Linked DNA regions of Macaca fascicularis. The protein of the gene in region 4 interacts with the protein of the main gene of each other region in a biochemical or structural test. Links are inferred from orthologs where the notes say so. Each region holds a gene or a part of one and is shown on either strand. Other genes may lie near its edges. The genes, in order: SNRPD1, COPRS, RIOK1 and PRMT5.

Region 1 (8,527 bases), on a different chromosome or scaffold from region 4:
GCCTCCCGGGTTCCCGCCATTCTCCTGCCTCAGCCTCCCGAGTAGCTGGGACCACAGGCGCCGCCACCTCGCCCGGCTAATTTTTTGTGTTTTTAGTAGAGACGGGGTTTCGCCGTGTTAGCCAGGATGGTCTCGATCTCCTGACCTTGTGATCCGCCCGTCTCGGCCTCCCAAAGTGCTGGGATTACAGGCTTGAGCCACCGCGCCCGGCCAATGTTTGTTTGTTTTTGATGGAGTCTCGCTCTGTCGTCCAGGCTAGAGTTTAGTGGCACAATCTTGACTCACTGCAACCTCCGCCTCCTGGGCTCGAGCAATTCTCCTGCCTCAGCTTCCCCAGTAGCTGGGATTACAGTAATGTGCCACCAAGTCTGGCTAATATTTTTGTATTTTTAGTAGAGACGGGTTTTCGCCATGTTAACCAGGCTTGTGAACTCCTGACCTCAGGTGATCCGCCTGCCTCGGCCTCCCAAAGTGCTGGGATTACAGGCATGAGCAACTGCACCTGGCTAAGACTCTTGTCTTAAAAAAAAAAAAAAAAGGGCCAGGCCCCATGGTTTACGCCTATAATCCCAGCACTTTGGGAGGCTGAGGTGGGGAGATCACCTGAGGTCAGAAGTTCGAGACCAGCCCAACATGGTGAAACCCTGTCTCTACTAAAAATGCAAAAATCATCCAGGTGTGGTGGCAGGTGCTTGTAGTCCCAGCTACTTCGGAGGCTGAGGCAGAATTGCTTGAACCCAAGAGGCGGAGGTTGCAGTGAACCAAGATCATGCCACTGTGCTCCAGCCTCACCGACAGAGTGAGACTGTCTCAAAAAAAAAAAAAATAGAATTTTTTTAAAAGACAGAGTCTTTCCCTGCCACATAGGCTCCAGGGCAGTAACACAATCATGGCTTGTTGCAACCTCGAAGTCTGGGCTCAAGTGATCCTCCCACCTCAGATTCCAAGGAACTGGGACTACAGGCATGAACCAACATGCTCAGCTAATTTTTTTATTTTTATTTTTTTTTGTGATGGAGTCTTGCTCTGTCAACCAGTCTGTAGCACAATGGCACGATCTTGGCTCACTGCAACCTCTGCCTCCCAAGTTCAAGTGATACTCCTGCCTCAGCCTCCTGAGTAGCTGGGATTACAGCCCTGCACCACCACACCCGGCTAATTTTTTGTATTTTTAGCAGAAATGGGGTTTCACCATATTGGCCAAGCTGGTCTCCAACTCCTGACCTCATGATCCACCTACCTCGGCCTCCCAAAGTGCTGGGGTTACAGGCATGAGCTACCGTGCCCGACCAACTAAATTTTTTTGTTTTTATTTTTGTAGAGACAGGATCTTGCTCTGTTGACCAGGCAGGTCTCGAACTCCTGGCCTCAAGCAGTCATCCCACCTTGGCCTCTCAAAGTGGTGAAATTACAGGCATTAACCTCTGCACTGGCAATTGACAATATTTGTAAACCCTTCAACTTTTCTTCCTCTGCAAAATGTTATAAAAAGGGGAGAACAGAAATCTAGATGAAGTAAGAAGTGGATAGTTTGTTCATTATATATTATCAAGGCAACTGGCTATTCAGTTGGGGAAAGTAATAAAGACAGATTTGTGCCTTACACTGCATAAAAAAAGATCAATTCCAAGTAGATTAAAACTCTAAAAGTAGAAGAAAATAAGATACTATCTTTTACAATCTTGGCATAGAAAAAACCCTTTCCTAGGCAAATTATGTATCCCAGGAAGATGAACAGATTCAAAACATAAAAGTGAAAAAAGTTTGTGTGACTAAAGAAACCATAAACCACAAACTTGAATGACTGGCAAACAAGTAGAAAATAAAAGAAAAACTCAACCTAATTGAGAATATGTAAATAATGTGAACAGGTAATTCACGGAAGAAATAATTTTCCCATATTAATGAAAAGATATTCAGTCTCACAAGTAATTAAGGAAAAACAAATTCCCCCCGCCATCAAATTCACAAAAATTTGAAAGACTTAACAGCAACTTGTGTTGGTGAGGGTTTGCATAATTGGGTTTGTAATGGGAAAAAATTGAACCAAAGTAATGTCCATCAACAGGGAGGTAATAAATTTTGACATTTCCATATAGTGGAATACTTTTCAGTTCTTAGAATGTTATTTTGTTATTTTGTTATTTTTTTATTTTTTTGAGACGGAGTCTCGCTCTTTCGCCCAGGCTGGAGTGCAGTGGCGCGATCTCGGCTCACTGCAAGCTCCGCCTCCCGGGTTCACGCCATTCTCCTGCCTCAGCCTCCCGAGTAGCTGGGACTACAGGCGCCCACAACCGCGCCCGGCTAATTTTTTGTATTTTTAGTAGAGACGGGGTTTCACCGTGGTCTCGATCTCCTGACCTTGTGATCCGCCCGCCTCGGCCTCCCAAAGTGGTGGGATTACAGGCGTGAGCCACCGCGCCCGGCCTATTTTGTTATTTTGGCTTTTTTTTGAGATGGAGTCTTGCTCTGTCGCTCAGGCTGGAGTGCAGTGGAACAATCTCACTCACTGTAGCCTCTGCCTCCGGAGTTCCAAGTAGCTGGGATTACAGGCGTGCTCCATCATGCCTAGCTAATTTTTTTTTTTTTTTTTTTTTTTTGAGATGGAGTCTTGCTCTCTCCCCAGGCTGGAGTGCAGTGGTGCGATCTCAGCTCACTGCAGCCTCTGCCTCCCAGGTTTAAGCAATTCTCCTGCCTCAGCTTCCTGAGTAGCTGGGATTACAGGCGCATGCCATCCTGCCCAGCTGATCTTTGTGTTTTTATAGAGATGGGGTTTCACCATGTTGGCCAGGCTGGTCTTGGACTCCAGACCTCAGATGATCTGCCCACCTCGGTCTCCCTAAGCGCTGGGATTACAGGCATGAGCCACTGTACCCAGTCTCAGTTCTTAGAGTGTTTTGTATGTTGAAATGGGAATATGTCCAATATAAACTGCTGAACGAGAACTACAAGTTACAGATGTGAATAAAATATGACCCAATTTATGTAAAAAGAAATCTGTATATATGCTTATGAATGTGCATATAAAATGATCTGGAATAATATTCCTACATACCCACAGTGCAGGGGGTTAGGAAGGGAGATTTTTACTTTATGTATAAATATTGTAATAAACTTGTAATCTTTTTACCAACTGTAATTCTTTATTTATTTTTCATGATTTATGAGTCTGAGATCTTGTATGTCTGGATTTGAGGTTTGAGAATTAGAAACGTCCAAATGACAGTTCATTTTAGTATTGTTGTGTTCCTTCATAAAGGTTGAGGATATGATTCAGGAAAGCTGAAATTGTTAGCATATTCTTGATAGGAATTGATGCAGATAGCATCTACAAATTTTCAGCGTCTAGTTGTTTCATCTTTTTACCTTAATAAATGTGATTTTAAAGTGTTGCAGGTAAAAATTAATGGTTTTATTCCTATTTATAGATTTTTGATGAAATTGAGTCATGAAACTGTAACCATTGAATTGAAGAACGGAACACAGGTCCATGGAACAATCACAGGTACGGAGGTTGGACTACTTTTATAACATTTTTTTCTTCTCTTTTACCTGCTATCCAGAGTTTATTTTTTGATTGCTTAATGAACGTTATTGTAGTACAGATTCTTATTCTTTTGTCTGAATTATGTAATTGATTGATTGATTGATTTTTTTATTTATTTATTTTTTTTTGAGACGGAGTCTCGCTCTGTCGCCCAGGCTGGAGTGCAGTGGCGCGATCTTGGCTCACTGCAAGCTCCGCCTCCCGGGTTCACGCCATTCTCCTGCCTCAGCCTCCTGAGTAGCTGGGACTACAGGCGCCCACAACCGCGCCCGGCTAATTTTTTGTATTTTTAGTAGAGACGGGGTTTCACCGTGGTCTCGATCTCCTGACCTTGTGATCCGCCCGCCTCGGCCTCCCAAAGTGCTGGGATTACAGGCGTGAGCCACCGCGCCCGGCCTATTTTTTTTTTTAAACAGAGTTTTGCTGTGTCACCTGGGCTTGAGTGCAGTGTCATGATCTCGGCTCACTGTAACCTCCGCTGCCTGGGGTCAAGCAATTCTTTTGTCTCAGCCTCCCGAGTGGCTGGGACTACAGGTGCCTGCCAGCATGCCTGGGTACATTTTTTTTTTTTTTGAGACGGATTCTCACTCTGTTGCCCAGGCTGGAGTGCAGTGGCACAGTCTCAGCTCACTGCAACCTCCGCCTCCAGGGTCTGATTAATTTTGGTAGAGATGGGGTTTTGGTCTCGAACTTGTGACCTCATGATCCATCCGCCTCGGCCTCCCAGAGTGCTGGGATTTCAGGCGTGAGTCAAGTCACTGCACTGGCCTAATTTTTGTATTTTTAGTAGAGACGAGGTTTCAGCATGTCAGCCAGGCTGATCTTGAACTGGACCGGGCTGGTCAGAAGACCTCAGTTGATCCGCCCGCCTCGGCCTCCCAAAGTGCTGGGATTACAGGCGTGAGCCACCAAACCTGGCCTAAGTAGGTCTTTAGTTATCCCATTAGTTCAGGTATAATTTGGTAAAGGCTTCAGTATTCAGGTGTTTCAGCTATAATGTCATATAATCACCCTAAAAAATTGCTTTGTATTTTGTAAACTCTCATACTAAAAATAGTAGCTTAATGAGAAGAATAGGTGTTGCAGACTACTTAAAAGCCTGTGTAACTTTGTAATCAAAATATTCTTAACAAAAGTGGTAACAATTATTACATATAGAGAGAAGCAGAAACAAAGGTGAGGATAGTTTAGTGGAATGGGGATTATGAGAAAGTCACAAAGACAGTGAGAGAAACATTCAAGAAATACCTGTCAGATCAGTAGTGAGCCTGAAGCCCAGTCAGGGTTCTTCCATTGCTTGCTGCATTCATTTCTGTAAGCAAAACTTAGTGTGCTAGGAAAAATCTCTAGGAAGGAAACACTGCTGATTTATACTGACGTTATTCCCCCATTTACCAGTTGCATATGTGCTAAATTATGTCATAGAAAACTTGCACTGTAGCAGAACAGTATTCTTTTGTAGTCCAGTATTTACTGTGGCTCAGTAGATTAATTAGTTGCCTGACTTTTATCATACTAATAACTGCCCAATTATTTTCTTTTTAGGTGTGGATGTCAGCATGAATACACATCTTAAAGCTGTGAAAATGACCCTGAAGAACAGAGAACCTGTACAGCTGGAAACGCTGAGTATTCGAGGAAATAACATTCGGTATTTTATTCTACCAGACAGTTTACCTCTGGATACACTACTTGTGGATGTTGAACCTAAGGTGAAATCTAAGAAAAGGGAAGCTGGTAAGTTTGAAGGATTATAAAAATTTTTGTGAATGCTAATCCTAATCCACACTATTCATAATATAAATATTTGCAAACAACACAAGTGTCTTTGTTTTTTAATATTTCTTATAATGTGTATTATAACTCCTGGTGTTGCTATTAAAAACATTGATGCGGCTGGACACAGTGGCTCACGCCTGTAATCCTAGCACTTTGGGAGGCCGAGGCGGGCAGATCATCTGAGGCCAGGAGTTCCAGACCAGCCTGGTCAACATGGAGAAATCCCATCTCTACTAAAAATGCAAAAAAAAAATTGGGCGTGGTGGCGCATGCCTTTAGTCCCAGTTACTTGGGAGGCTGAGGCAGAAGAATCACTTGAACCCGGGAGGCGGAGGTTGCTGTGAGCCAAGATCATGCCACTGCACTCCGGCCTGGGCTACAGAGTGAGACTCTGTTTCAAAATAATAATAATAATATGGTTGTAATCCATAGCTTGTAAAACAATGATTTAACCTCTCATGCTGTGTATCATGCTGCTTTCCACTTTGCAAGAACCCCCTGTGGGTACCAAAATCTACAGATGCTCAAGTCCCTTTTCATAAAATGGTAATAGTGTTTCCATCTAACCTCTGCACATCCTTTTGTACACTTGTAATACCCAGTATAATGTAAATGCTTTGTAGATAGTTATATTGTATTGTTTAGGCGTTAATGACAAGAAAAAGTCTGACAACCATCATAGGCCTAAAGTTGGTTAAATCCATGGATGTGGAACCCATGGATATTGAAGGCTGACTGTATTTTCAAATCTGAGGACTTTTTGCCTTAATGTCTTTAGGGTTATTCTACTTTTACTACCTACCTACCTGTGAGGGAATTGATGATTGAAAGCCCCCTGCCTCGTATCATCTTACTCCACGCTGAGAAGTTATTCTTCCTTTACTAAATGTTACAGTTCCAAGTCTATTTTCTGATTTAAAATTTTGTTGAAAAAAATTTTTTTGTTTTCTTTTTTTTTTTTTTTTTTAGATGGAGTTTCACTCTTGTTACCCAAGCTGGAGTGCAGTGGCGCGATTTCAGCTCACTGCAACCTCCGCCTCCTGGGTTCTAACGATTCTTCTGTTTCAGCCTCCCAAGTAGCTGGGATTATAGGTGTGTGCCACCGCACCCAGCTAATTTTGTATTTTTAGTAGAGACGGGGTTTCATCGTGTTGATCAGGCTGGCCTCATACCCCTGACCTCAAGTGATTTACCTACCTCAGCCTTCCAGAGTGCTGGGATTACAGGCATGAGCCACCACGCCCAGCCGAAATCTTTTATCTACTATGTTTTCTCTGCTTTTCTTTGTTCTTCTGGGTACTTACCGTTTTTGTTCCTTTTCTATCATAAATACTATTTCAGAAGAAATTGGAGATAAGTGTGGTCAATTTGGTTCATTTTAACATGCGTCCTAGACTTACTGTTTTTGTGTGTACACATTTAAAATAATATAGTTTAAAATAACTGAAATTGGCTGGGCGCGGTGGCCCATGCCGTGAGCTGAGATCGTGCCATTGCACTCCAGCCTGTGCAACAAGAGTGAAACTCTGTCTCAAAAAAATAAATAAAATTATTTATGCCTGCCCCCCACCCACTCCCCACTTCTTAAAAAGTTGTTTTCTTAATTTATCTTTCTTTTATACAGATATGCACCACCAAATCTGGCTAATTTTTTAATTTTTTTGTAGAGACAGGGTCTCCCTGTGTTGTCCAGGCTAGTCTTGAACTCTTGGTCTCAAACAATCCTGCTGTGGCCTCTCAAAGTGCTGGGATTACAGGTGTGAGCCACCATCATACCTGGTCCATTTTCTTTTCTTTTTATTTCTTTTTTTTTTTTGAGACAGAGTCATGCTCTGTCGCCCAGGCCTCACTACAACCTCTGCCTCCCGGATTCAAGTAATTCTCCTGCCTCAGCCTCCCGAGTAGCTGGGATTACAGGTCCCCAGCCCTTTTATTGTTGTTGTTGTTGTTGTTTTTTACAACACTGCTCCAACTCTGTTTTTCCCCCCAATTTAACACTTCATTTTGAAATAATTTTAGACACAAAAAGTTGCAAAAATAGTACAAGGAATTCCCATACACTTTCACCAACATTGCCTAAATGTTAAAATTTCATGTAACTACAAAAAATAGAAATTTTATATTGATGCGACACTATTATATTATCTAGAGACCTTTTTCACGTTTCTCTGATTGTCCCTCTAATGTCCTTTTCCTGGTCCAAGATCCAATCCAGTACAACAGGTTGCATTTAGTTGTTCGTTTCCTTAGTTTCTTTTAATGTGTATCAGCTGGTTCCTTTTGTGACCTTAACACTTTGTAAGAGTACGGGCCAGTTATTTTGTGGAATGTCCCTTAATTAGCATCTTAAACTCACTGTTTATTGCTTGGAATGGTAAGACTAGAATCAGCGTGTACAAATTTCTAATGTGGCCAGGTGCGGTGGCTCACACCTGTAATCCCACCACTTTGGGAGACTGAGGCTGGAGGATTGCTTTGGTCCACGAGTTTGAAAGCAGCTTGGGCAACAAAGGGAGACCTCATCTCTACAAAAAATTAAAAAATTAGCCAGACCTGATGGCTTGTACCTGTAGTCCCCGCTACTCAGGAGGCTTAGGTGGGAGGATCACTTGAGCCCAGGAGTTCAAGACTGCAGTGAGGTGTGATTACACTGCAGGCTGGACTACAGAGAGAGACCTTGTATTTAAAAAAAAAAAAAAAAAAAGCAAAACATTTAGAATGTAACTGACTTCTGTGTCAGGATTTTCTAATATTCTTAGCTGTCTGAAGATGAAATAAGTTTATTTGGGTGATAAATTCCCTGTCACCATGATACTCAACTAGAGTTAGGATGACCCAGTGACAGGGATATTGCTATATGGATTAAAGCACTAGATTATGTGTAGGTCAAAATAGTTTCAATTTTCTGAAGAGTTAATAAGATTGTGATTTGATGTAATAGATTTAAACTTCCCTGGTTTTGAATTAACTTGCTTGGATTTTATTCAGTTACCAAAACTCTGGCATCAAGGTGATCGTGTTCTATTCTATGATATGTATCTTCCTTTTTTTGTGAGATTCAAATCATTTTATGGTGAATTTGAGACATGATATAAAGAAAAATTATTTTTTTAAGTTTGACACATTTCTTAGTAAATAAATTGAAATGAAACAAATAATAATCTCCCTAGGCCTTTAGTTCTTGGTTCTGCATGATAATGT
Region 2 (7,606 bases), on a different chromosome or scaffold from region 4:
TATGAAAGTAGTTTGAAAGTCCACCTTTTCACATCTTATATCATTAGTATTTTTCCATTTCACTTTTTTTTCTTATTCCCACTTCATCCCCTTGAGATAACCAATATTCTACATCTTCTTTACCTTGATTGCATCACCCAATGGTAGGGTACCAGAATAATATTCAAAGCAGAACAATTGGGCCAGGCACAGTGGCTCACGCCTGTAATCCCAGCACTTTGGGAAGCTGAGGCAGGCGGATCACCTGAGGTCAGGAGTTCAAGACCAGCCTGGCCAATATAGTGAAACCCCATCTCTACTAAAAAATACAAAAAACTAGCCGGGCGCGGTGGCGGGCGCCTGTAGTCCCAGCTACTCCGGAGGCTGAGGCAGGAGAATGGCGTGAACCCGGGAGGCGGAGCTTGCAGTGAGCTGAGATAGTGCCACTGCACTCCAGCCTGGGCAACAAAAGTGAAACTCCATCTCTAAATAAATAAATAAATGGCTGGGCACAGTGGCTCACACCTGCGATCCCAGCACTTTGGGAGGCAGAGGTGGGTGGATCACGAGGTCAGGAGATCGAGACCATCCTGGCTAACAGGGTGAAACCCCGTCTCTACTAAAAATACAAAAAATTATTCAGGCATGGTGGCAGGTGCCTATAGTCCCAGCTACTCAGGAGGCTGAGGCAGGAGAACAGCGTGAGTCCAGGAGGCAGAGCTTGCACTGAGCCGAGGCCATGCCACTGCACTCCAGCTTGGGCAACAGAGTGAGACTCCGTCTCATAAATAAATAAATAAATAAATAAATAAATAAATAATAAATAAATAGCAAAACAGGCCTAGATTCACAACTCCTCCACGGATCACAGCAGCAACGCTGTGTGAATTTTCTTTACTTAGCTACTCATGCACATATGTTCTTCATACTATTTTTTTCTTCTCTCCCTCCCGCCCCCCTATATATATAATACCCCAACTCACAACTTCCGCCTTTACTCATAGTTTCAGCTGCCTCATAACTCCTGCTCACACATGGGCCAACACAACCTTTCAATAACATGACATTTCAGCAATTCTGCCATCCTCCTCAAACCCCTAATATCTCTTGGCTCTGTTTCTCAAGTTTACCTTTTCATGTCAGACATACTCATGGTCTCATCATCTATGACCTTGCAAGGAGGAAGAAAGGGGGATGTGGTGATATGATCTACAACTGCCCTTTTTTTTTTTTTTTTTTTTTTTTTTTTTTGAGACGGAGTCTCGCTCTGTCACCCAGGCTGGAGTGCAGTGGCCTGATCTCAGCTCACTGCAAGCTCCGCCTCCCGGGTTCATGCCATTCTCCTGCCTCAGCCTCCCGAGTAGCTGGGACCACAGGCGCCCGCCAGCTCGCCCGGCTAGTTTTTTGTATTTTTTAGTAGAGACGGGGTTTCACTGTGTTAGCCAGGATGGTCTCGATCTCCTGACCTTGTGATCCACCCGTCTCGGCCTCCCAAAGTGCTGGGATTACAGGCTTGAGCCACCGCGCCCGGCCCACAACTGCCCTTTTAACAAAGACAGCGGAAGGGGCATTTTTTTCCTCCCTACGACAGCCTTGGCCATGACTCCCCTCACCGCCAAAGCCACTGCATTCCCTCACAAGGTTCTGCCTTGTTCACACACCTTGTGGGGCCTTTGAAAATGTTTACATGGTTAAATGCTCAATTAACTGCTAAAGAGTAGACTAAAATTTCACATCTAAAAGCTTTTCTTGAGTCAGCTTCAGTAAGGAGGCAGGAAGAAACAATCCCTGAGTCCGTCAGACACAAAGGTGACTTACTCTAATGGATCCCAGACCTGCCAAGGCGTGGCCCCAGATGGTGCTATCTTCTCACACACGCAGGGCCAAAAATGGACCTCAGAGTCACATGTGCATCTAGGTCCCAGTTCTGCTGCTCACTGTGTGATCTTGAAGAGGTCAAAACATTTTTTTTTTTTTTTTTTTTTTTTTTGAGACGGAGTCTTGCCCTGTTGCCCAGGCTGGAGTGCAGTGGCATGATCATGGCTCACGGCAACCTTTGCCTCCCAGGTTCAAGCTATTCTCCTGCTTCAGTTTCCAAAATAGCTGGGATTACAGGCGTCCATCACCACACCTGGCTAATTTTTGTATTTTTAGTACAGACGGGGTTTCACCGTGTTGGCCAGGCTGGTCTCCAACTCCTGACCTCAGGTGATCCACCCGCCTCAGCCTCCCAAAGTGCTGGGATTACAGGCGTGAGCCACCACGCCCGGCCTGGTCAAAACTTTGAGTCTTGCATTCCTTATCTCTAAAATGAGGTAAAGTTGGGGGTTTTTTTGTTTTGTTTTGTTTTGCAGATGGAGTTTCACTCTTGTTGTCCAGGCTGGAGCGCAACGGCGTGATCTCGGCTCACCAAAACCTCTGCCTCCCAGATTCAAGCAATTCTCCTGCCTCAGCCTCCCAAGTAGCTGGGATTACAGGTGTGCACCATGACACCTGGCTAATTTTTGTTTAGTAGAGACAGGGTTTCTCTGTGTTGGCCAGCTAGTCTTGAACTCCTGACCTCAGGTGATCCGCCCAACTCAGCCTCCTGAAGTGCTAGGATTACAGGTGTGAGCCACCGTGCCCAGCCAAAATGAGGTAAATTTTTAAGAGACTTCACATAAGGAAGGATTAAAATATTAAATGGAAAACTGAGTTTAGTGTCAATTAAGGATTATGCAATTGCTGGTTTAACTAATTTCCCATTTAGTTTTCAGCCTAGGGAAAAGCCTGTTAACTAAGTAAATGTTCCATTTTCTACCAACAGGAAAACAATCAGCTACAAAATCACCAATGTCTCTTGGATTTCAATCCTTGGTCAACAGTGCCAGATCTACAGAAGCAAAACTAAATTTTTTTTGTTTTTTTTTGTTTTTTTTGAGACGGAGTCTCGCTCTGTCACCCAGGCTGGAGTGCAGTGGCCGGATCTCGGCTCACTGCAAGCTCCGCCTCCCGGGTTCACGCCATTCTCCTGCCTCAGCCTCCCGAGTAGCTGGGACTACAGGCGCCCGCCACCGCGCCCGGCTAGTTTTTTGTATTTTTTAGTAGAGACGGGGTTTCACCATGTTACCCAGGATGGTCTCGATCTCCTGACCTCGTGATCCGCCCGTCTCAGCCTCCCAAAGTGCTGGGATTACTGGCTTGAGCCACTGCGCCTGGCAATTTTTTTTTCTTTCACAAAGTAGTTTTAAGCCTCCAAGCGTTTCAATCTTTAAAACGTCATTCAGGGACTTTAAATGAAGGAGTGAAGGCTGGGCATAGTGTCTCACACCTGTAATCCCAGCACTTTGGGAGGCCAAGGTGGGTGGATCACTTGAGGCCAGGAATTCAAGACCAGATTGGCCAACGTGGTGAAACCCCGTCTCTACTAAAAACACAAAAAATTAGCCGGGTGTGGTGGCATGCACCTACAGTCCCAGCTACTCGGGAGGCTGAGGCACAAAAATCGCTTAAACCCAGGAGGTGGAGGTTCCAATGAGCCAAGTTTGTGCTACTGCACTCCAGCCTGGCTGACACAGTGAGACTGTCTCCATAAATAAATAAATGGGAAAAAAGCAGACGAAGCATACTAGTTTCTTTTTTTCACCTTTATTTACAAAGAACACAACTCCTCTTGACACAAACATACACATTCCAAGGAGGAGCCCATTAGTAACAACAACAGACTGGGGAGAACGACGGGGCCTTATTGAACACTGTTCAATAAAGAACTAGTCTGTGTACTGCAGACTAGGGGTCACTGAGAACGTTTTCTCAGATACCACTTTTCACCTCCAAGACAGGAAAAGAGATCTTGACGTGGAGGCCCGCCCACCTACAAGGCAGAAAGCTCCACACTCAATCTTCAGCATCGTCAAACTGTCCTGTTTCAAAGACCATCTTGGAATAATGGGGTATCAGTGGAGGCGGATGGTGCCAGCTGGGGTCATAGATCATATCTCCTTGTGGGGCACAGCACACCCAAGGTTTGAGCTCTTGAGAAATGCTCTCCTGGATGTCGTCAGCATCTGCAGGCAGTTTTAAAAGACAGATTAAGGGAAGGAAGGAGGGAAGGAAGGAAGGTAAAAATGGACAGCCACAAAGTATGCCTAGGGGACAGATCCTTGCACTTATTTTGTTTAAAAACACACACAGTTCTCCTTTCCTGAAGAATTGTAAATGCATTCATTCTGAACAGCTGAGAAGCTGTGCTTCTCAGACAAGGGTTCTTAGCAGTGGAGAGGAAGCAAACTGGATAACACAGCACTTCTATCTGCAGCTGCTCAATTCATAGCAGACATTTTTGGAGACAGTGACAGTTTTGATGTTAAAACAGTGATACATTACGAAGTCAAATGTATTTTTTTCAATATAAAAGAGGTGTCACAGAAATTGCAGACCTGTAACAGATACCAGCCTAAGCTCATAGATGTGGACCCCTGTTCCAAACTGTCTGCCTTCAGCGCTAGTCTGACAGGTGTGTCTGAGAAGGCCTGGTTCAGGACCCCCAGAGACTCTACACCTACCATATGGATTCCCTTGATCTGCTTTCAACTCCAAGTCCCAGTCCTCATTAAAAATATCACCAGGCTGTTCCTTGGGTGGACAGTTTGTCCCTTCTGACAGCTCCCAGGTATTCAGTTCTCCATCAGAGTCCTCCTCATCCATGGCAAAACCTTCCTCTTCAGAATGGGTGCCCTCACCCCGGGCAGGACTGTCATTAGGGACGCTCTGTGCTCCACGGGCTAAATTGACAAAGAGAAGATGGCCTTAGTGACAAACCAAAGAGGACCTGCTGTGTGCTCAGTCAATTTTGGGCAGACTTACTAGGAAGGTAGTAAAGCAAGTACACAGAGTCTTCTTTCGCCACCTGAGCACTTTTTAAAAAATGCTCTTCTGTGTATGTTTTTAAAAGACCTGATAACTTATTTTCTTTTTTTTTTTTTTTTTTTTGGGGGGGGGGGCGGAGTCTCGCGCTGTCGCCCAGGCTGGAGTGCAGTGGCCGGATCTCAGCTCACTGCAAGCTCCGCTTCCCGGGTTTGCGCCATTCTCCTGCCGCAGCCTCCCAAGTAGCTGGGACTACAGGCGCCCGCCACCTCGCCCGGCTAGTTTTTTGTATTTTTTAGTAGAGACGGAATTTCACTGTGTTAGCCAGGATGGTCTCGATCTCCTGACCTCGTGATCCGCCCGTCTCGGCCTCCCAAAGTGCTGGGATTACAGGCTTGAGCCACCGCGCCCGGCCAACTTATTTTCAATAAGATGTTTTGTCTTATACAAGACCATTAATTGCCAGGTCCTTTAATTTACAAAGAGAGCTAGGGACAGTTAACATTTTCAGGTGGTTTGCATGTCTGTCACTGAGGCAAAGGGCCTCTGATAAATAATACGCTTTCACAATACAAGCTTGAATTAAGATTTTGCTTTTTTTTTTTTTTTTTTTTTGAGACAGTCTCACTCTGTAGCCCAGGTTGGAGTGCAGTGGCGCCATCTCAGCTCACTGCAACCTCTACCTCCCAGGTTCACGCAATTATCTGCCTCGGCCTCCTGAGAAGCTGGAATTACAGGTGCCCGCCACCATGCCCAGTTAATTTTTTTGTATTTTTAGTAGAGATGGGGTTTCACCATCTTGGCCAGGCTGGTCTTGAACTCCTGACCTTGTGATCCATCCGCCTCAGCCTCCCAAAGTGCTGGGATTACAGACGTAAGCCACCGCGCCCGGCCGTTTTTGCTCTTTTATTCCTCCCTTCAGCCTCAAAGAGCATGTTAGAGGTGAGCACAGGGACAAAGGAGAGCAGGGGCACTGCAGACAGACCAGAGCCTGTCTAGTTACAATGGGCAGCACCTAGTGCCTCCTTCTGACAGTGGGGAGGCTGGAAGGTACATTTGCAAAAGGTCTCACAATAAGAGAGGAAAGACTGGGGAAAGATAATGGATTTCCGAGCACAGTGCTTTGGTGATGCCAGGTCCCAGGAGAGAAGGCAATCAGCCTAAAACAGCCATGCTCTTAATACTGGAACAACAGTAACAGTGATAAGCAATAAAGTGATAGTTCAGAGCAAGGGGTCTAAAGCCAGACTGCCTGGTTTCAAATCCCTGTTTTGCCAAGTACTAAACATGGGACTGGGCAGGGCGTGGTACCTCACCCCTGTAAACCTAGCACTTTGGGAGGCCGAGGCAAGCAGACTGCTTGAGCTCAGAAGTTCAAGACCAGCCTGAACAATGTGGCAAAACCTTGTCTCTACAAAAACTTCAAAAAATTTAGCTGGGTGCAGTGGCATTCACCTGTAATCCCAGCTACTCAGGAGGCTGAGGTGGGAGGATCACTTGAGCCTGGGAGGCAGAGACTGCAGTGAGCCAAGATCGTGCCATTGCACAGAGTGAGACCCTGTCTCAAACAAACAAAAAAAAAAGTGTGACTGAGCTGAAATTTACTTAACTAGTTCCATAACATAAATACAGAATTACCATATGACCCAGCAATCCCAGTCCTAAACATATACCCAAAAGAACTGAAAAGAGGTGTTCAAATAAAACAAGGATACTGACAGCAGCACTACTTACAATCACCAAAAGGGAGAAACAACACAAATGTCCATCAATGGATGAATGGGAAAACAAAATGTGGTATATGCGTATGATGGAATTATTCAGCCATAAAAAGGAATGCAGTGCTGATACATGCTATGGCATGGATGCACCTTGAAAATACGCTAAGTGGAAGAAGCCATACACAAAAGGCACATGTTGTTATGATTCCATTTACAGGCAACTCACATTTGCCTATCCAGAATAGATAAATCCACAGAGACAGAAAGCAAATTAGTGGTTGCCAAGAACTCAGGGAAGGAAGGAATGGAGAATGACTACTTGGTGAGCACAGGGTTTCCTTTTAGGGTGATGAAAAGATTCTGGAACTAGGTACTGGTGATGGTTGCACAACACTGCCATTGTGCTAAAAGGCCACTGAATTATATGCTGTAAAATGGTTAAATGGTAAATTTATGTTAGGTATCTTTTACCACAATTTTTAAATTGTTTTTATTTAACTATTCTGTGCCTCAATTTCCACATCTGTAAAATGAAGATAGGGTTGTTGTGAGAGTTACTTTAAAAGGAAAAAAAAGGGCCAGGCGTGGTGGCTCACACCTGTAATCCCAATACTTTGGGAGGCCGAGGTGGGCAGATCACCTGAGGTCAGGAGTTCGAGACCAGCCTGGCCAACACAGTGAAAGCCCCTCTCCACTAAAAATACAAAAATTAGGCTGGGCGTGGTGGCTCATGCCTGTAGTCCCAGCACTTTGGGAGGTCAAGGCAGGCAGATCACAAGGTCAGGAGATCGAGACCATCCTGAAACCCTGTCTCTACTAAAAACACAAAAAATTAGCCAGGCATGGTGGCAGGTGCCTGTGGTTCCAGCTATTCGGGAGGCTGAGGCAGGAGAATGGCATGAACCTGGGAGGCGGAGCTTGCAGTGAGCGGAGATCGCACCACTGCCTGGGAGACAGAGCGAGACTCTGTCTCAAACAATAAATAAATAAATACAAAAATTAGCCAGGCACCGTTGTGTGCGCCTGTAATCCCAGCTACTCAGGAGGCTGAGGCACGAGAA
Region 3 (7,648 bases), on a different chromosome or scaffold from region 4:
GAGACGAGGTAGGTGGATCACCTAAGGTCAGGAGTTTGAGACCGGCCTGGCCAACATGGTGAAACCCTGTCTCTACTAAAAATACAAAAATTAGCCAGGTGTGGTGGCGGGCACCTATAATCCCAGCTACTCGGGAGGCTGAGGCAGGAAAATCACTTGAACCTGGGAGGTGAAAGTTGCAGTGAGGCAAGATCGCACCACTGTGCTCCAGCCTGGGTGACAGAGCGAGACTCCATCTCAAAAAAACAAAAACAAAAAACAAAAAAGAAATGGTGGTACTTTCCGGCTGAGAAACGTTCTATTCCTAAACAGGTTTATCAAAGGAAGAATGAGTGATAGCAGCATAGGAAAGAGCTGTCATTTTGTGCTTCAAAGAAGTTATCTAGATTTCTCATAGTAAACTTTTAGAAACATCTGCATTATTTTGATGAATGAGAATCATCAACAACATATGAAATCAGATATAACTACAACCAACAAAATACTGTCCCCAGCTTTGGGCCAAGAGACCCAAATTTCACCTTTCCAAATAGAAAGTAACTGTACAACCAATAATCCATTAACCTAAAACCTGCCAAACAATCAAAAGTCAATTGTTATCAAAGTCAGCAAGCAGCCCTGCTAGTTGTCTGCCTAAGATTAGGCTCCTTCTAAGCCTTCTGATGAGGACAATAATTTCAGGCAAGGTTGGCAAGAATACGATGAGTGGCTAAACCAGCCACAGCCTTACGACCCAGAATCCAAACAAGGATACGGCCGTATCAGCGAGAGGGGTATCAAAAAAGCTTTTCCCAGGTTAGAATCTTCATGACCAACTCTTGATGTTTTACAAGTCACTTCCTCCCAGTAGCAATGTAAGAGAATGAACTGCCCCACAATCCTGCCATTGCTACATCTGGCCAAATGGCACTGATTCCAAGCTTGGAAACTGCGTGATTCAGCAAAAGATAGCGCTGAGGAGCTTGACCTCCTGAGGCAAACATACCATGTCAGAGAGTAAGACCGAAACAAACACAGGAACTGGAAGATCCTGAAGATAAACTCCCCAGAGGTGTGCAGGATTCATGTCTGCTTTTGCTTTTTCTTTCATTGTGCTAACTGTAGACTATTTCACAGGGATTATTTCTGTGTTTCATTGAAATTATATTTCACATGTTGAACTTTAAAGTCAAAATAAACACAATAAAGAGCTCAAATGATTTCCCCCAATAACCCAGTCAAATAAGCAGGACTGAACTTCAGTTTCAGTGAAAACTAGGGGTTGGTTTTTGGAAATTATTTCTAAATGCAATGACTACAATAGTCACTTCTAACATAAAATGTACCATTAAAAAAACTATATGGTAATTTCTTTTAGTATCTGTGCTATGTTGCAGTGTAAGATTTTATCTCACCCTCCTACCCTCCCCAACCCTGCTCCCACCCACAGTCTTTCCCATCACAGTAAGTGGCAGCTCCAGTCATCTCACTGGCTGCTCAGGTCAGAAACCCTGAAGTCACCCTTCACTCCTCGCAATCTCATCTCTTCCCTTAGAACGTGCAACCGCTTCTCTCATGTCAGCCACCATCCTATACCAAGCCATCAGTGTCTCTTGCTTGGGTTTACTTCAATGAACATACCCACGGGTCTCCTACCCTTGCTTCCTGGTCGATTCTCCACAGAGGCCAGAGTAATCCTTTTAAAACAGAAGTCAGATCGTATCACTCCCTGCCAAAACCCTCCCACAGCCATACACTATCTGATTGCATCGACTACTTTCTCCCTTGATGATGATGTCTCAGCTCTGTTTCTGGAAGTTGTCACGTACACTCCTGCCTCAGGGCTTTGCAACTGCTGGTTGCTCTGCCTGGCATGTTCTTCCTTCCTGTTATGCACACGATTCACCTTCTTCAAGTATTTGCTCAAGTATCGGCCCGCAGTAAGGCCTTTCCAGGAACCCTATTTTAAACTGCAAACTCCTGCAAAATAGGCGCCCTCTCATCTCTGCATTATTTCTCTCCATATAATTTATCATCTGCTGATACACCACTTTTTACTTATTTTGGTTAATGTCTTATCTTCCTATCAAAATGTAAACTACTCAAAGGTAGTAATTTTTGCCTAGTTTGTTTTCTGCTGTATCCCCAGCAACTAAAATACTCAAATTTTTGATGAATGAATGAATATGCCAAATGATTGAATGTAAAAAACTTGATGAACTGAGAGGTCCTAGCTCCAAAAAGAACATTAAAGATGAAGTGTAAGAGCATTACAAATGATCACCAATATACACAAGAGCAGAGTTGCAGTGAATGATTAAATCAACAGCCAGCTGAATTGTGAGTGAAATTCCCTTTACATAAACATGGCCTTATAATCAGATGACCTCAGATGGGTCTCTGGTGTGTACAAAGAAAGCAAAACCAATTTTCCCATGAGTGCCTCTGGACACTCACGTAAGAGTTATAGATATTGACATTTAAATATTTATCATGCTTCTGAAAACATATTTGTAAGAGAAAAACATATAAAAATAAAAATGTACAAAGTTCTTTATTAAAATAATAGCTTAAATAAATCCTCTGTCAACACCAGAGTCAGGGACTGGATCTAGACTCTAGAGCTTAGAGTTTTTTACATAATTACATGAAAACACTGAATCCGTCTTCACAGACAGACATGATGACAATTTGGTTAAAATCAATAAGCCATCTTCCAGACGCAGCTTAGAGTTCAGGCGAGAAAAGTAACTGATGACAATGACTGTACATAATATGGTTCTCGTTCTATTTGCCTTTTTTCGTCTTGGCTGTCTTCTCCTTTCTTTTTTTCACATGTTTAGGAATTTTGTTTTTTCTTTTCTCTCTCTGGGCTTCCTTGACCATCTTTTTTCTTTCCTGTAAAAAGCAAACAAAAAAGCCAAATTTCATTCATTTGGAGTATGCATTTTTTTTGTTTTTTGTTTTTTTGTTTTTTAGACAGGGTCTTGCTCTGTCGCCCAGGCTGGAGTGCAATGGTATGATCATGGTTCACTTCAGCCTCCACCTCCTGGGCTCAAGCAATCCTCCCACCTCAGCCTCCTGGGTAGCTGGGACAACAGGCGCACACCACCACACCTGGCTAGGTTTTTTTGGGTATTTTTTGGTAGAGATGGGGCTTCACCAGATTGCTCAGGCTGGTCTCAAACTCCTGGGCTCAAGTGATCCATCCACCTCAATCTCCAAAAATGCTGAGATTACAGGCATGAGCCACTGCACCCACCTGCAGTATTCTTCTTATTATTATAACTAAATAAAATATACACACAGAAGAATAAAAGTGAGTGTAATGTAAAACAAAGAAAAGAAAATGATTATGGGTTGGTGGAGAACTTGGGGTGAAAATTGTCTTTGAGCTTGTTCTTTTTAGAGACAGGGACTCACTCTGTCACCCAGGCGGGAGGGCAGTAGCAGGATCATTGTGCACTGCAGCCTCAAGCTCCTGGGCTCAAGCAACCCTCTTGCCTCAACCTCCCTAGTAGCTGAGACTACAAGCATGAGCCACCATAACTGGCCTTGAGCTTCCTTAATAGAAATGTGAAGACAGCCAAACAGAAATATCCCTAAGAATGTTATTAAATGTTTGCAAATACTTTTCTTTACAAGTTCCATATTCTAACAGAAACAGACATTGGAAAGAGACAAAATATGTATTTCTAGTAGACATACGAGAAAATATGCTAGCAGCTGAGTATGTCCCTCAGAAGTCTTGGGACCCACATTGTATATGGTTTAAAGGATTAGACTAAGATGGAATAATAATAGTTACATAGCATTCAGTCAGCAGTGTCTCTTATGTCTATGGCTAGCAATTAAAGAAATACAAGAGTCCCTTCTTATCCATGGGGGATATATGTTCCAAGACCCCCAGTGGATGCTTAAAACAGTGGATAGTGCCAAACCCTATATATACTATGTTTCTTCCTATATATACATACCTATGATGAGGTTTAATTTATAAATTAGGCACAGTAAGAGATAATAACTAATAATAGAATAGTAACAATATACTATAATAAAAGTTATTTGAATGTGGTCTTTCTCATTCTCAACATATCCCACAGTATCATACTCATGTGACAGTAGCTTATTCATTGGCAGATGCAGCCTCTCTGGTAATTTTTCTGTTTTTTAGTCCAAACCTATTCCTGAATCTGTTTAACTGTTCCTTACAGTAAATGGCCTGGTGTCACTCATTTCAGGGGAACTCTTGCTGAAACCTTTGAAACCTTCGTATAGGCTCAATGCTTTCCGGTGCAACATGGTGTGGTCAACTGGAAGATGTTTTTGTTTACATCTTTCACCCACAAATGTAATGCCTTTTCCATCTTAACTAAGCACTTATCACATACTATGGCCCTAACTTTTGCAGTTTGGGGTGAGATAGCAAAACCAGCAAAAACATCTTTTTCCTTCTCCACAGTGTCACGGATAAAAGATTCTCATCATAGATCTCAGCAACTTCAGCATATGATTCTTTTCCTTTTCTTATTTATTTTTTTGAGACAGAATCTCACTCTGTCACCCAGGCTGGTGTGCAGTGGCATGATCAGCTCACTAGAACCTCAAACTTCTGGGCTCAAGGGATCCTCTTGCCTTAACCTCCCAAGTATCTGGGACCACAGGTGCTCATCACCAATGTTTTAACAGACAGGGTATCACTCTGTTGCCCAGACTGGTCTGGAGTGATCTGCCCTCCTTGGCCTCCGAAAGTGCTAGGATTACAGGCATGAGTTCCTTGCTAAGTCAAGAATGGTCACCTTTCCACTTAAAGGAAGACCTTTATGGCTTCTCTAAAGCACACCTGAACTTCCAACATCACTACTCTTGTAATTTATGGACATTATTAAGCAAAGTAAGGGTTACTTGCACACAAGCACCACAACATCACAGCAGCTGAACCGATAGCCAAGAAGACTACTAAATGACTAATGGGTGGGGAGTGTCGACAGTGTGAAGACGCTGGACCACGTGGTGATTCACATCCCAGGCAGGATGGAGGAGGACAGCATGAATTTCATCACACTACTTAGGACAGTGAGCAATTCAAAACTTATAAATTGTTTATTTCCGGAATTTTCCATTTAATATTTGCAAACCAAGGCTGACTGCTGGGAACTGAAACAGTAGAAAGTGAAAGCATGGAAGCGGGGACTATTATACAGTCTTTCAGATTCCAGAAACATCAAGCTGGGCTATAAGTCCCCCTGAAATGGCTCTTCAGTATTTACCCTGAGTCAACTCTAACATCACTTGTACTTCATACGAAATGTACGGAATTTAGTGCGTGCTCTCTCTAGGCAATGCCCAAGGTGCTCCGATGAGCAGTCCAATCTTGAGATAACGTTACCACCAAAAGTCAAGTTCACACTTAGGTATTAAAACTGTAATTAGAGGTACTTATCAATAATGTTTTCAGCCATCACAATCTAGCTAGATCCTTGAGCAAAGAGAAACAAGAGCCGCTGTGCTCCCACACTAAAGAAAAGGGGAATGTATCTCATTGCTTACTTTTTTATCAACGTCAGGGCCCGTGGTGTGTTTCTTGGGGCGGGCATGGTCTCCCTGCTCTTCAGAGTCTGTGTCAGAGCACTCAGAGCTTCCAGTATCTTCTGAATCAGAACAAGTCCTTTCCTCCACTTGATTTTCTAGGAGTGCAGGGACCTTGAAATTATTAAAGAACCATGTTATTCTAAACCATGTAATTCTAAACAACACATAAACCAAGTTATGTGTTGTTGCTAAATGTGTTAATGCCAGAATTCAGATTTTAGGCTCGCAAATACATGTTAAAAACTAACATCCTGTACTGAAACATTAAAACACCAGAATGAACATCAGGAGGGAAATATGAAAGTAGCCACTCCAAGTAAGGCTCAAGAACATACCCAAATGAAGGAACCAGGGTTTTACTGCGTGACCTAGACCAACGACAAAACCGTTCTGCTTCTTTCAGCTGATCAGGGGCATTTAGTTGGGACTGGGAAGGAGGCGAAATATACATAGAGGTAGAAAATAAAGATTTATACGGATAACTTCACAGCTGTTTTCCTGTGAACCACATTTCTAGCAATAAACTAATCAAATTGAGAGGGAAAACAATATTCAAAGAAGAGAAATTTTCACTACTTCCTGAAATTTAGCAGTTGTCTAATACAGTGCTTCCCAGCAGTTTTTAAGAGTGAGGTTTCCTTTTTATAAGGAAAAAAACAGATCTTTAGAAGTCAATTGTACAAGATTTTCTAGCTTGCTGCAATAAAATCTTCATGCTCTGGAATCCAAAGCATAACTTCCTTATGACACCTGTTATTATAACTCAGAAATGCAAAATACCAGAATTCCCCTAATTCAATTCTTTCCACAGAAAAGACATGATTTTAAGAAAGCAAACTGTGATCCTTTAAGTCTTCAATTAGGAAGATTTGAAGAAATAAAGACTGCTTTTATGACTGCCTAAGTTAGAATTACTTAATCCCTGTCCTTCTAAAATGTAAAACAAAACAAGATTGTTTTAAGAAAAAAGAACATTACAGGAATCCAGCACAGCAGGATTGCTGAACTCATGAGATTGTTCTTTAACAAGTAATATCCTGGTAGGAGACCACATTCCACAGTTTTCCTAAGCTGGTTGTAAAAACCATCAAGAAGCACAATGGCTATCATTAATAACTCCACAAATGACAACTAGAATACAAAAAGATAAATACCTCACCTGCAATTACAGAACAATTCAGAGACAGAAAAATAATTTCCAAATTTCAGTGCTATGTTTAGAAAGAACATAAAAATGGCATTTCTGAAGATGTCCACAGACTTTGAAAGCAACTATAAAATTTTAACAATATAAAATAGCATTAATTTAGTTCTAATAATATTAAATAATAAAAACAAATAATATGACTAGAGTTTTATATCCTTTATAAGTGTTTTCACATAAACGAACAGTAATACATGTTCTTCATACCTTCTGAACTCCTGACAAATCTTTCTTCAATCCAGTGACAGTTTGGTATAGAATCTTATAACCAAAAGGAAAAAAAAATAAGGATCAACATAAAACTAGACAATGAAATATGCATATTGTACTACTAAGAACAATGTGGGTTAAATAACATCTCCTATGATTATACAAAGGTATCTAAAATTAATCTCACTGTAACACAGAAAGTTTATATTATTTCTGTCTACCAGATCTACTGGCCAAATCCAACCAGCCACCTCATAGTTGTTCTTTTTTTTTTTTTTGAGACAGAGTCTTGCTTTGTCGCCCAGGCTAGAGTGCAGTGACATGATCTTGGCTCACTGCAACCTCTGCCACCAGGGTTCAGGAGTTTCTCCTGTCTCAGCCTCCTGAGCAGCTGGGATTACAGGCGCCCGCCACAATGCCCAGCTAATTTTTGTATTTTTAGTAGAGACGAGGTTTTACCATGTTGGCCAGGCTGGTCTCAAACTCCTGACTTCAGCTGATCCACCCACATCGGCCTCCCAAAGTGCTGGGATTACAGGCGTGAGCCTCCATACCCAGCCTTTTTTTTTTTTTTTTTTTGAGAGACAGTCCTGCTCTATAGCCCAGGCTAAAGTTCAATGGTGCAATCTCAGCTCACTGCAGCCTCCGCCTCCCACGTTCAAG
Region 4 (8,165 bases):
GTGACTCCTTGGATGTAGCAGTACTGAGTCCTCTAACGGGAAAGAAGGAACTGATGTCCACCCTCACTTTCCAAGGGCCTCCAGGAGCCCCTAGACACTTCTGTGGTCTACTGTAGCTACCAAAAATGTAGCTGGTTATAACATGGGGAGAGCCAGAGTCGGAGGCTGACTTCCAATTCTGACTTGGATACTAATATCACATCATTGCACCCATTTCAAATTCCCCCTCTGTAAAATGGAAAATTGGACTAGATGACCTCTTAGGGACTTCAAACTGTACACCTGTGGTTTTATTCAAAAAAATAGGTAGCTTCTTGCTGGAGATTCCTGGATGGATTCCAGCCTTCCCAAGAGGTAACAAAGGAGAGGTAACCAGTTGCCAGTGCAGTAGCTCAAGAATACAGGAAGAGAAACTGGCTTCACTCACTATTCCATCTTTTCCCAAGGTGGCAAACTCTATGCCTCCTCCCCAGAGAAAAGCCTAACTACAGGTTCTAATGGACAAGAGCTCACTGTAACTGGTCAGAAAGGCCTATATCCAGGAGTACAACAGTCATTGCTCAGCTTCCTAAGTAGGGAATACAACTAGGCCCCTTTAGGTCTTGGATAAGGTATGAGGACAGATCTGAACATGCCTGGGTCTAAGTGAGGTGTGGGAAAACAGCGGCAGGGGCGGCAGGGTAGTGCAGGAAAGGGCTATAACTTTATTTGTATTTCCTCTTACACGAAACCATCAAAACAAGAACAGAGAAGGGCTGAACATCTGTCCAAACCCCATGTTCTCAGGGATATTCCAGGGAGCTCTTGAGGCTGAGTGCGTAGCTTCGAATCCAGCACTAATTCCTCACCCCCTGGCCTGAGGTCTTCACAGATTGGTGGCTTGAGCCCTGCAATTAATTATAATCCCTTGCCCACCTTGATGTAAGGCAGGAAAGCAGATTGAAATGCTCCTCTCTGATGGGCAAGGGGAATCACAGCCCATAGATGTACTGCACCTTCTGTACTACAGGAGCAGAACATGAAGCTGCTTCCAAGGCTCTGGACACTTGCACGCAGGGCTAGAGGCCAATGGTATATGAGCGGCCTGTGGGGTTGTGAATAGCAGAACAGACTGGTGCTGTCACAGCCCACTCATACCACACCTTCTTGGAATTGCTGCATCGCCAGAAACGCACACAGATGGTTTGGCCTTCACGTACCGTTATGGGCTGCTGTAAGAAGAAAGACAGGGAGGTTCAGGGTGGAGCTAATGAATTATAAATGGCAGTGTATTAAGGTAGGTGTGGAGATAAAATGATAAACATGACAAGACTGTCCCAACCCTCATGAAAGTTATTTGAAGCCTATCAGAACGCTGAACAATAAGACACTGAACAAATAATCAAAAGTGTGGTGAGTGCTGTGAACATGTACAGAGTGCTAGAAAAACAACTATGAAAGGGAACACTAACCTAGTCTAGGAGGTCAGAGAAAGTTTATCTCACAATAGAAATGTTTAAAGGAGACCTAGAAGATAGGTTAACGGTGTGAAGAGACAAGCAAAGAGCTCTGCAGGCAAAAGAGAGGCATGAAAGCCTGAGGTAGGAAAGAAGATCGACAATTAGAACCAAAAGAAGGTCCATAAGGCTGAAGCAGTGTAAGCAAGGGGACAGGAGCTGCAAAGGCAAGCAAACACTAGATCACATCAAGTCTTACAAGCAATGTTCCAGATTTTGACTTTTATCCTAAAGACAATGGGAAGGCATTGAAAGGTTTTAAGCAAAAAAGAGGTAAGATCAGGCCAGGCGCAGTGGCTCACGCCTGTAATCCCAGCACTTTGGGAGGCTGAGGCGGGTGGATCATGAGGTTGGGAGATCCAGACCATCCTGGCTAACACGGTAAAACCCCATCTCTACTAAGAACACAAACATTAGCCAGGCATGGTGGCTGGCACCTGTAGTCCCAAGTACTAGGGAGCCTGAGGCAGGAGAATGGCATGAACTGGAGAGGCGGAGCTTGCAGTGAGCCGAAATTGCACCACTGCACTCCAGCCTGGGTGACAGAGCGAGACTGTCTCTTTAAAAAAAAAAGAGAGAAAGAGAGAGATAAGATCAAATTTGAGTGTTTAAAAGATGGCTCTTGCTCAAAGTAGAGGACAGAAGGGTAGCCAGAATAGATGCGGGAAAGCCAGGCAGAAGGCCACTCCAAATACTCCCAACACCTACCACTGGGATCCAAGAGCATATGAAATCAGGAGAATATGAGTCATATAGTCAACTATCTTCCTGGGAGAAGGAAAGAGGCACAACACCAAAGGCAAAAGTTACTCCTTAACCTACAGAGTCTTAAAAGCAGTTCCTACCTTAATAGGGAAGAGGATGGGAAACCATGAGAACATCCCAGGAGAGTGAGTCTCTGGACGGATACCTGTATGGACAAAATAATGAAAAAACAGAAGTCTCCATGGCTGTGCCTTTAGCCTATGTTGAAGAGGGTCTCTTCTCTAATCACACAAAGATCTCCATTCATTGAGTACTGGGCCCCCCATAAATCTAAATGACACATGTACATATAAGCTGCCCAGGCAGCACACCCTCATACTCTGCCATCCACTGCCATAGACACTCACTCAGAGTGATGTCCTGATAAAGCACAGTCTCAAAGTAGCCTGCAAAGCCATGCAGTACTGTGTTCACCTCCACGGGAAACTCCAAGGTACAATAGCGGTTGTTGTCAATCATAGGATCTGTCAGGAAATAATCATGTGGATGACAAGGGGCCAGAAGCTCTAGACAACCTGGTAAACCATGAGCAAGACCCAGGAAGGGAAGAGTAGATAAGGCAGACTAGGGACAGCAAGGGAAGAAAGCAGGAGGAAGGAAGAAGCCCACACCCCTCTAGTCAGAGGACAGTCATAAAAGAATCTACCTCTGTTGGGATGGCTGAAGGTGAAACAGGGCTGGGGCGCAGAGAGCTGGTGGAAGTTGTGCAGCCGTACCACATAAGGCATCTCGAACTGGGCCTGTCAGAGACAAGGAGAGAGAGAGAGTGTTGGGGAAGACAGACAGGAGATACCTACTTCCCCAAGGATTAAAAAAAGTTTTACTTTAGTGCTTCCCCAATCCCTAACTTCTTCGCCTCTTCATCCCCAGCAGAAGAAAATAGCTGATGCAAATACAGAAAAAGAAGAGGACTGAAGAGTACCACTTCTTTCCAGAGAGTGTTTTTTTACCTCAGGGTCACGGTCCTTCTCCCTACAGGCCCGGACTTCATTGTACAGCTTGGAGGAGGAGATGGGAGCCAGGAAGGAAGTATATTCTCCGGGGATGCTCACACCGTCATCTGCACAGCAGGAGAGTCAAATTAGTTCCAGAGGGAGGGAAATGGTGTGTCTGTACTAACTGAAGGATCAGAAGGATCAAACCTCCCATGTCAAAACCAACCAACGTTGGCATGGGCATGGAAGAAAGAGACAAATGCATGTTGTCACATTATTAAGCCAGCCTTCCAACTACTGTCACGGATGATTCCACTTCTAGGTTAATTTACAGAGTCACACAGATAAAAACTGAAAGAACCCAAGATAGTCTAATCTGGTAGTTCTTAACTTTTGTGGGGTCACAAAGTCCCATAAAAGTTCCTGATGAAAGCTAAGCTCAGGGTACATACGTCAGCTCAAGGAGTCCATTCCCCTCATTATTTTTTATTTCATTATTATTATTTTTTTGAGACGGAGTCTCGCTCTATTGCCCAGGCTGGAGTGCAGTGGCACAATCTTGGCTCACTGTAACCTTCTCCTCCCGGGTTCAAACGATTCTCGTGCCTCGGCCTCCCGAGTAGCTGGGATTACAGGCGTGCACCACCACGCCTGGCTAATTTTTGTATTTTTAGTAGAGACAGGGTTTTGCCATGTTGCCTAGGTTGGTCACGAATTCCTGACCTCCCACCTTGGCCTCCCACAGCACCTGGCCCACTCCCTTCATTTTACAAATATGAACACTGAGGTTTGAAGAGACGACTTCATTTGCTAAGGGCACAGAGGCAGTGGAGCAATAGCTCTCAAACTCATATGATGTGACCCAGGTCCAACTCACTTTCCCCTAAACCCTGTACCCTCCTCCCAGGTAGATGTCTCATCCATCATCACCCTCCACCTACACCCCAACCTGGGTGCACCTTTTAGGAAGTGCTGGGCTCCATCCAGGCACTCAGGCGACAATTCATTGTCAGCAAATGAGCCCAGAAGCTCGCTGACAATGATGTCTGCTTTCTCTGGAGCCACCCATTCCCTCATGTCTGATGAGACTACGGTCACTTGGCTTCCCCATTCTTCAAACTGCCAGTTCTCTAGCCTGAAACAGAGACAATAAGGTGAGGAGACATGTTAAGGAAATTTGGCAATGGGGACTAACTTCCTAGCAAGCAGGCTGCTACTCACGTCACCACGGCATTTGGGTTTTTCTCCACAGCATACAGCTTTATCCGCCGGTCAGCCTGCTTGGCTGCCCGCAGGGAAGCGTTCACCAGGGGTCCCCGTCCTGCTCCCAGCACCATCAGTACCCTAACAAAGAAAGGGAAGAGTCAAGCAGACTTGGCATATACAGATGTAGATATGCAAGTCCCTGGGATTGAGGGGAAAGCACTCACTGGACATTGGTATCCTTCTCCTCTTCTGGTACTCGGTCTAGCAGACATTTATAGATGGCCTGGAGGAGAGAATATCCTATGGTTGTAATCCCAATCTCCCTAGGTCATGCTAGCCCTGTGCTTTCCTCACCCTGCATACCACACAGTACCTGCTGATACTGAGAGTATTTGATAGGGTCCTTTTCAAACACTTCGTATGTCTGAGATTCCAGATTGTCCATCAGTGGCTGATGAATGAGGAAAAGGATAAAGTTAGCCAGTTTCTGGCAAAGGACAATGCACTAAAATATCAAAAACTTTCCACTGCTTTCTGAGTTTTAGTAACATTTGGAGGCATATATTCTCAAGATACATTTTCACCCCACCTTCCTACTCTCAGTGCACTCCAGACCCACCTGAAGCGGGGACTGCAGATAGTCTTCATAGCCCTTGGCAAAGAGTTCATAGGCATTAGGTGGAGGACGGTTCTGGCTTAAGTATTCCAAGTACTGAAGGTAGGAGCAGAACTCCTTCTCTGAGTGGTGGTTGGTGCCTGTGATGATGAACTGCACCTCCAACTGTAAGAAAAGTCAGACTATCAGATACAGCCCGCAAACCAAGATTCGGGGCCCAGTGTAAAATATGGCCCAGATCAACAGCTCTCCTTTTTTTTTTTTTTAAAGATGGAGTCTCGCTCTGTTGCCCAGGCTGGAGTGCAATGGCGTGATCTTGGCTTACTTGCAACCTCCACCTCCCAGGGTCAATTCTTCTGCCTCAGCCTCCCAAGTAGCTGGGACTACAGGTGCGTGCCACCAGGCTTGGCTAATTTTTGTATGTTTAGTAGAGACGGGGTTTCACCATGTTGGCCAGGCTGGTCTCAAACTCCTGACCTCAGATGATCCATCCGCCTCAGCCTCCCGAAGTCCTAGGATTACAGGCGTGAGCCACTGTGCCTGGCCCAGACCAACAGTTCTCTAGTATCTGTTCCAATACCAACAAAGGCAGCATGAGGCCTCAGTAAACTTGTAAAAAGCCCTCTTGGCCGGGTGTGGTGGCCCACGCCTGTAATCCCAATACTTTGGGAGACTGAGGCAGGTGGATCATTTGAGGTCAGGAGTTCAAGACCAGCCTGGCCAACATGGTAAAACCCGTCTCTACTAAAAATACAAAAATTAGTCGGGTAGTAGTGGTGCACACCTATAATCCCAGCTACTCAGGAGAATCGCTTAAGCCTGGGAGGCAGAGGTTCTGGTGAGCTGAGTTTGCACCGCTGCACTCCAGTATGGGTGACAGAGTGAGACTCTGTCTCAAAAAAAAAAAAGAAAAGAAAAGAAAAGCCCTCTTATGCCATAAAAGTATCATCAACACCCAAAGAGCCTCATGGATCCTTGCTGTAACTTCCTAAATGAAACCTTCTGCAAAGTTCTCATGAGGTTTGGTTTGTTTTGAAAGGTTTCTAGGGCTATTACTGGCATTTATCTTTTTGTTCTCAAGACTCCCAACTTCACTGAAATTGCTCCCCAGAAACCAAAGAAAAAGAGTCAGCCTCACAGGAAAAAACGATCATACACAGGTAAATAAGGCAAGATGTATAGCTGGACCACCTTTAGAACCCTCCTACCACTCACCTTGAGGAGCCGGAAGATGAGCCTCTGGTGCATCTTAGAAAGAACAGGAAATCCCTTCTTATTGGTCAGGAAGATGCTAGTGGGGAGAATGGCTGCTTTGATGGGCTCCCCAAGCCAGCGATCAATGACATGATTAGATGGGAGGTCAGCCCCAATTTCAAGAGCTACATGAGACAAAGAAAAACTGTCAACCACTGCCAGGCAAGAAACCCTTCCTTGCTCCTTTGTGAAAAATCTGTTTACCTCTTTAAGAGAAAGGCAGTCTGAGACAGAGGGTAAGTAGTAAAATTGTATACTATATACAAAATTCCTGAATCTTATTCACAGGAGGTCAGAGAAGCAACACCCAACCCAGGATTCTCATGGACTCACCCACTGCAATCCTCTTACTATAGTCACACAAAGTCCGGAAGTTGTGCCACCTGTTCAGAGTCAAATACAGAAAAGTACAGTCAACTAGATACGGCCGACCAATCACCATAGCTCAAGGAGACCTCCCTATAGGTTTCACCCTGTACTTCCCCTCACCCTATCACAGCAGCAAAGGGAGACATACCACATCCATGTTTTCTCCTCCCCACTGTACTCCTCTGTGTGTGTAGTTGGTGCATTCTCAATTATATCATCTCTCAGGTCCTCTGGTGCCACCAAGGGTACCCGCATCCAGAACTGCACATGAACAGTCACCCTTTTAGAACACCCTTTTGAACTCACTCGGTCCAGAAAGTTTCCCTCAATCAAAAACTTCATTCAGACCTCGCTAATCCCTTTATATGCTTTTCCCAATTTGTGATTTTGTAAGTGAACATGTACCTTATGTATAGATCCTTATGTAAATATCTGCCTTATCTTACGTAAGTTTCCGAAATAATTACATTTGCATGTTTTGAAACTCTCTTCATACCACTTTTAGATGGAGAGGTGCGCAATATTGACCTTTTTTTTGAGACAAGGTCTGGCTCTGTCACCCAGGCTGGAGTGCAGTGGTGCAATCTCAGCTAACTGCAACCTCCGTCTCACAGGTTCAAGTCATTCTCCCACCTCAGCTTCCCAAGTAGCTGGGACTACAGGCGTGTGACACCACACCTAGCTAATCTGTGTTTTTTTGTTTTGGTTTTGGTTTTTGTAGAGACAGGGTTTCACCAGGCTTCCCAAGCTGGTCTCGAACTTCTGAGCTCAGCGATCTGCCCACCTCAGCCTCCCAAAGTGCTGGGATTACAGGCATGAGCCACTGTGCCCGGCAATACTGATACTTCAATTCTGCCAAACACACCCTTCACTGAATGGCTAGGCACAAGAAGGTACTTAGCACAATCTGACTACTATGATATGCAGCAGGAAAGGAGCCCCTCAGCTATACCATAGAAGAGTGATGGCCAGTGTGGATGTGGTTGGTCAAAACTCTGGCCAGGTTGGTGTTATCTTCCTGATTAAGGGGCAGCAGGAAAGCTGGAAGACCCAAATATGCACCAAAATTCAGCTCCTGTAACATGGCCTGGAATGGAGATGAAGAGGAAAAGGTTGAGCTAACAAGCAAATAGCTTTCTTTTCTTTTCTTTTCTTTTTTTTTTTTTTTTTTGAGACAAAGTCTCACTCTGTCACCCAGGCTGGAGTACAGTGGCACAATCTCCACTCATCTGCAGCCTCAACCTTCCCAAGCTCAACTGATCCTCCCACCTCAGCCTCCTGAGTAGCTGGGACCACAGGAATGTGCCACCATGCCTGGCTAATTTTTGTATATTTTATAGAGATGGGGTTTCACTATGCTGCCCAGGCTGGTCTCAAACTCCTGAGCTCCAGTGATCCTACAACCTCAGCCTCCCAAAGTGATAGGATCATAGGTGTGCACCATGGGGTCCAGCCTAATAGCTTTAATTTCATTGTATCAGTTGATTTACCAAGTTATTGGGGGTGGGAGGGGACCACTCTCCC

The links.
Region 1: the proteins of PRMT5 (region 4) and SNRPD1 form a complex in vitro, tested with the Homo sapiens proteins (2 studies listed by BioGRID, with this or other methods). The link is inferred for Macaca fascicularis from reciprocal best matches to the Homo sapiens genes PRMT5 and SNRPD1.
Region 2: the proteins of PRMT5 (region 4) and COPRS form a complex in vitro, tested with the Homo sapiens proteins (3 studies listed by BioGRID, with this or other methods). The link is inferred for Macaca fascicularis from reciprocal best matches to the Homo sapiens genes PRMT5 and COPRS.
Region 3: the proteins of PRMT5 (region 4) and RIOK1 are reported together in a solved structure, tested with the Homo sapiens proteins (2 studies listed by BioGRID, with this or other methods). The link is inferred for Macaca fascicularis from reciprocal best matches to the Homo sapiens genes PRMT5 and RIOK1.

The regions. Positions count from the first base shown.
Region 1 is NC_088392.1:68,134,804-68,143,330, reverse strand, and holds part of SNRPD1 (small nuclear ribonucleoprotein Sm D1), read left to right. Parts: intron 1-3,428; coding exon 3,429-3,505; intron 3,506-5,092; coding exon 5,093-5,284; intron 5,285-8,527. UniProt on the Homo sapiens protein: Plays a role in pre-mRNA splicing as a core component of the spliceosomal U1, U2, U4 and U5 small nuclear ribonucleoproteins (snRNPs), the building blocks of the spliceosome.
Region 2 is NC_088390.1:38,088,575-38,096,180, forward strand, and holds the end of COPRS (coordinator of PRMT5 and differentiation stimulator), read right to left. Parts: intron 4,743-7,606; coding exon 4,524-4,742; intron 4,026-4,523; coding exon 3,856-4,025; 3' UTR 3,591-3,855; downstream 1-3,590. UniProt on the Homo sapiens protein: Histone-binding protein required for histone H4 methyltransferase activity of PRMT5.
Region 3 is NC_088378.1:165,586,413-165,594,060, forward strand, and holds the end of RIOK1 (serine/threonine-protein kinase RIO1), read right to left. Parts: intron 7,037-7,648; coding exon 6,983-7,036; intron 5,683-6,982; coding exon 5,530-5,682; intron 2,878-5,529; coding exon 2,767-2,877; 3' UTR 2,515-2,766; downstream 1-2,514. UniProt on the Homo sapiens protein: Involved in the final steps of cytoplasmic maturation of the 40S ribosomal subunit. Involved in processing of 18S-E pre-rRNA to the mature 18S rRNA. Required for the recycling of NOB1 and PNO1 from the late 40S precursor.
Region 4 is NC_088381.1:90,667,214-90,675,378, forward strand, and holds the end of PRMT5 (protein arginine N-methyltransferase 5), read right to left. Parts: intron 7,729-8,165; coding exon 7,594-7,728; intron 6,903-7,593; coding exon 6,790-6,902; intron 6,656-6,789; coding exon 6,606-6,655; intron 6,398-6,605; coding exon 6,234-6,397; intron 5,184-6,233; coding exon 5,022-5,183; intron 4,854-5,021; coding exon 4,776-4,853; intron 4,686-4,775; coding exon 4,627-4,685; intron 4,541-4,626; coding exon 4,418-4,540; intron 4,332-4,417; coding exon 4,156-4,331; intron 3,322-4,155; coding exon 3,212-3,321; intron 3,002-3,211; coding exon 2,908-3,001; intron 2,726-2,907; coding exon 2,609-2,725; intron 2,407-2,608; coding exon 2,342-2,406; intron 1,212-2,341; coding exon 1,059-1,211; 3' UTR 685-1,058; downstream 1-684. UniProt on the Homo sapiens protein: Arginine methyltransferase that can both catalyze the formation of omega-N monomethylarginine (MMA) and symmetrical dimethylarginine (sDMA), with a preference for the formation of MMA.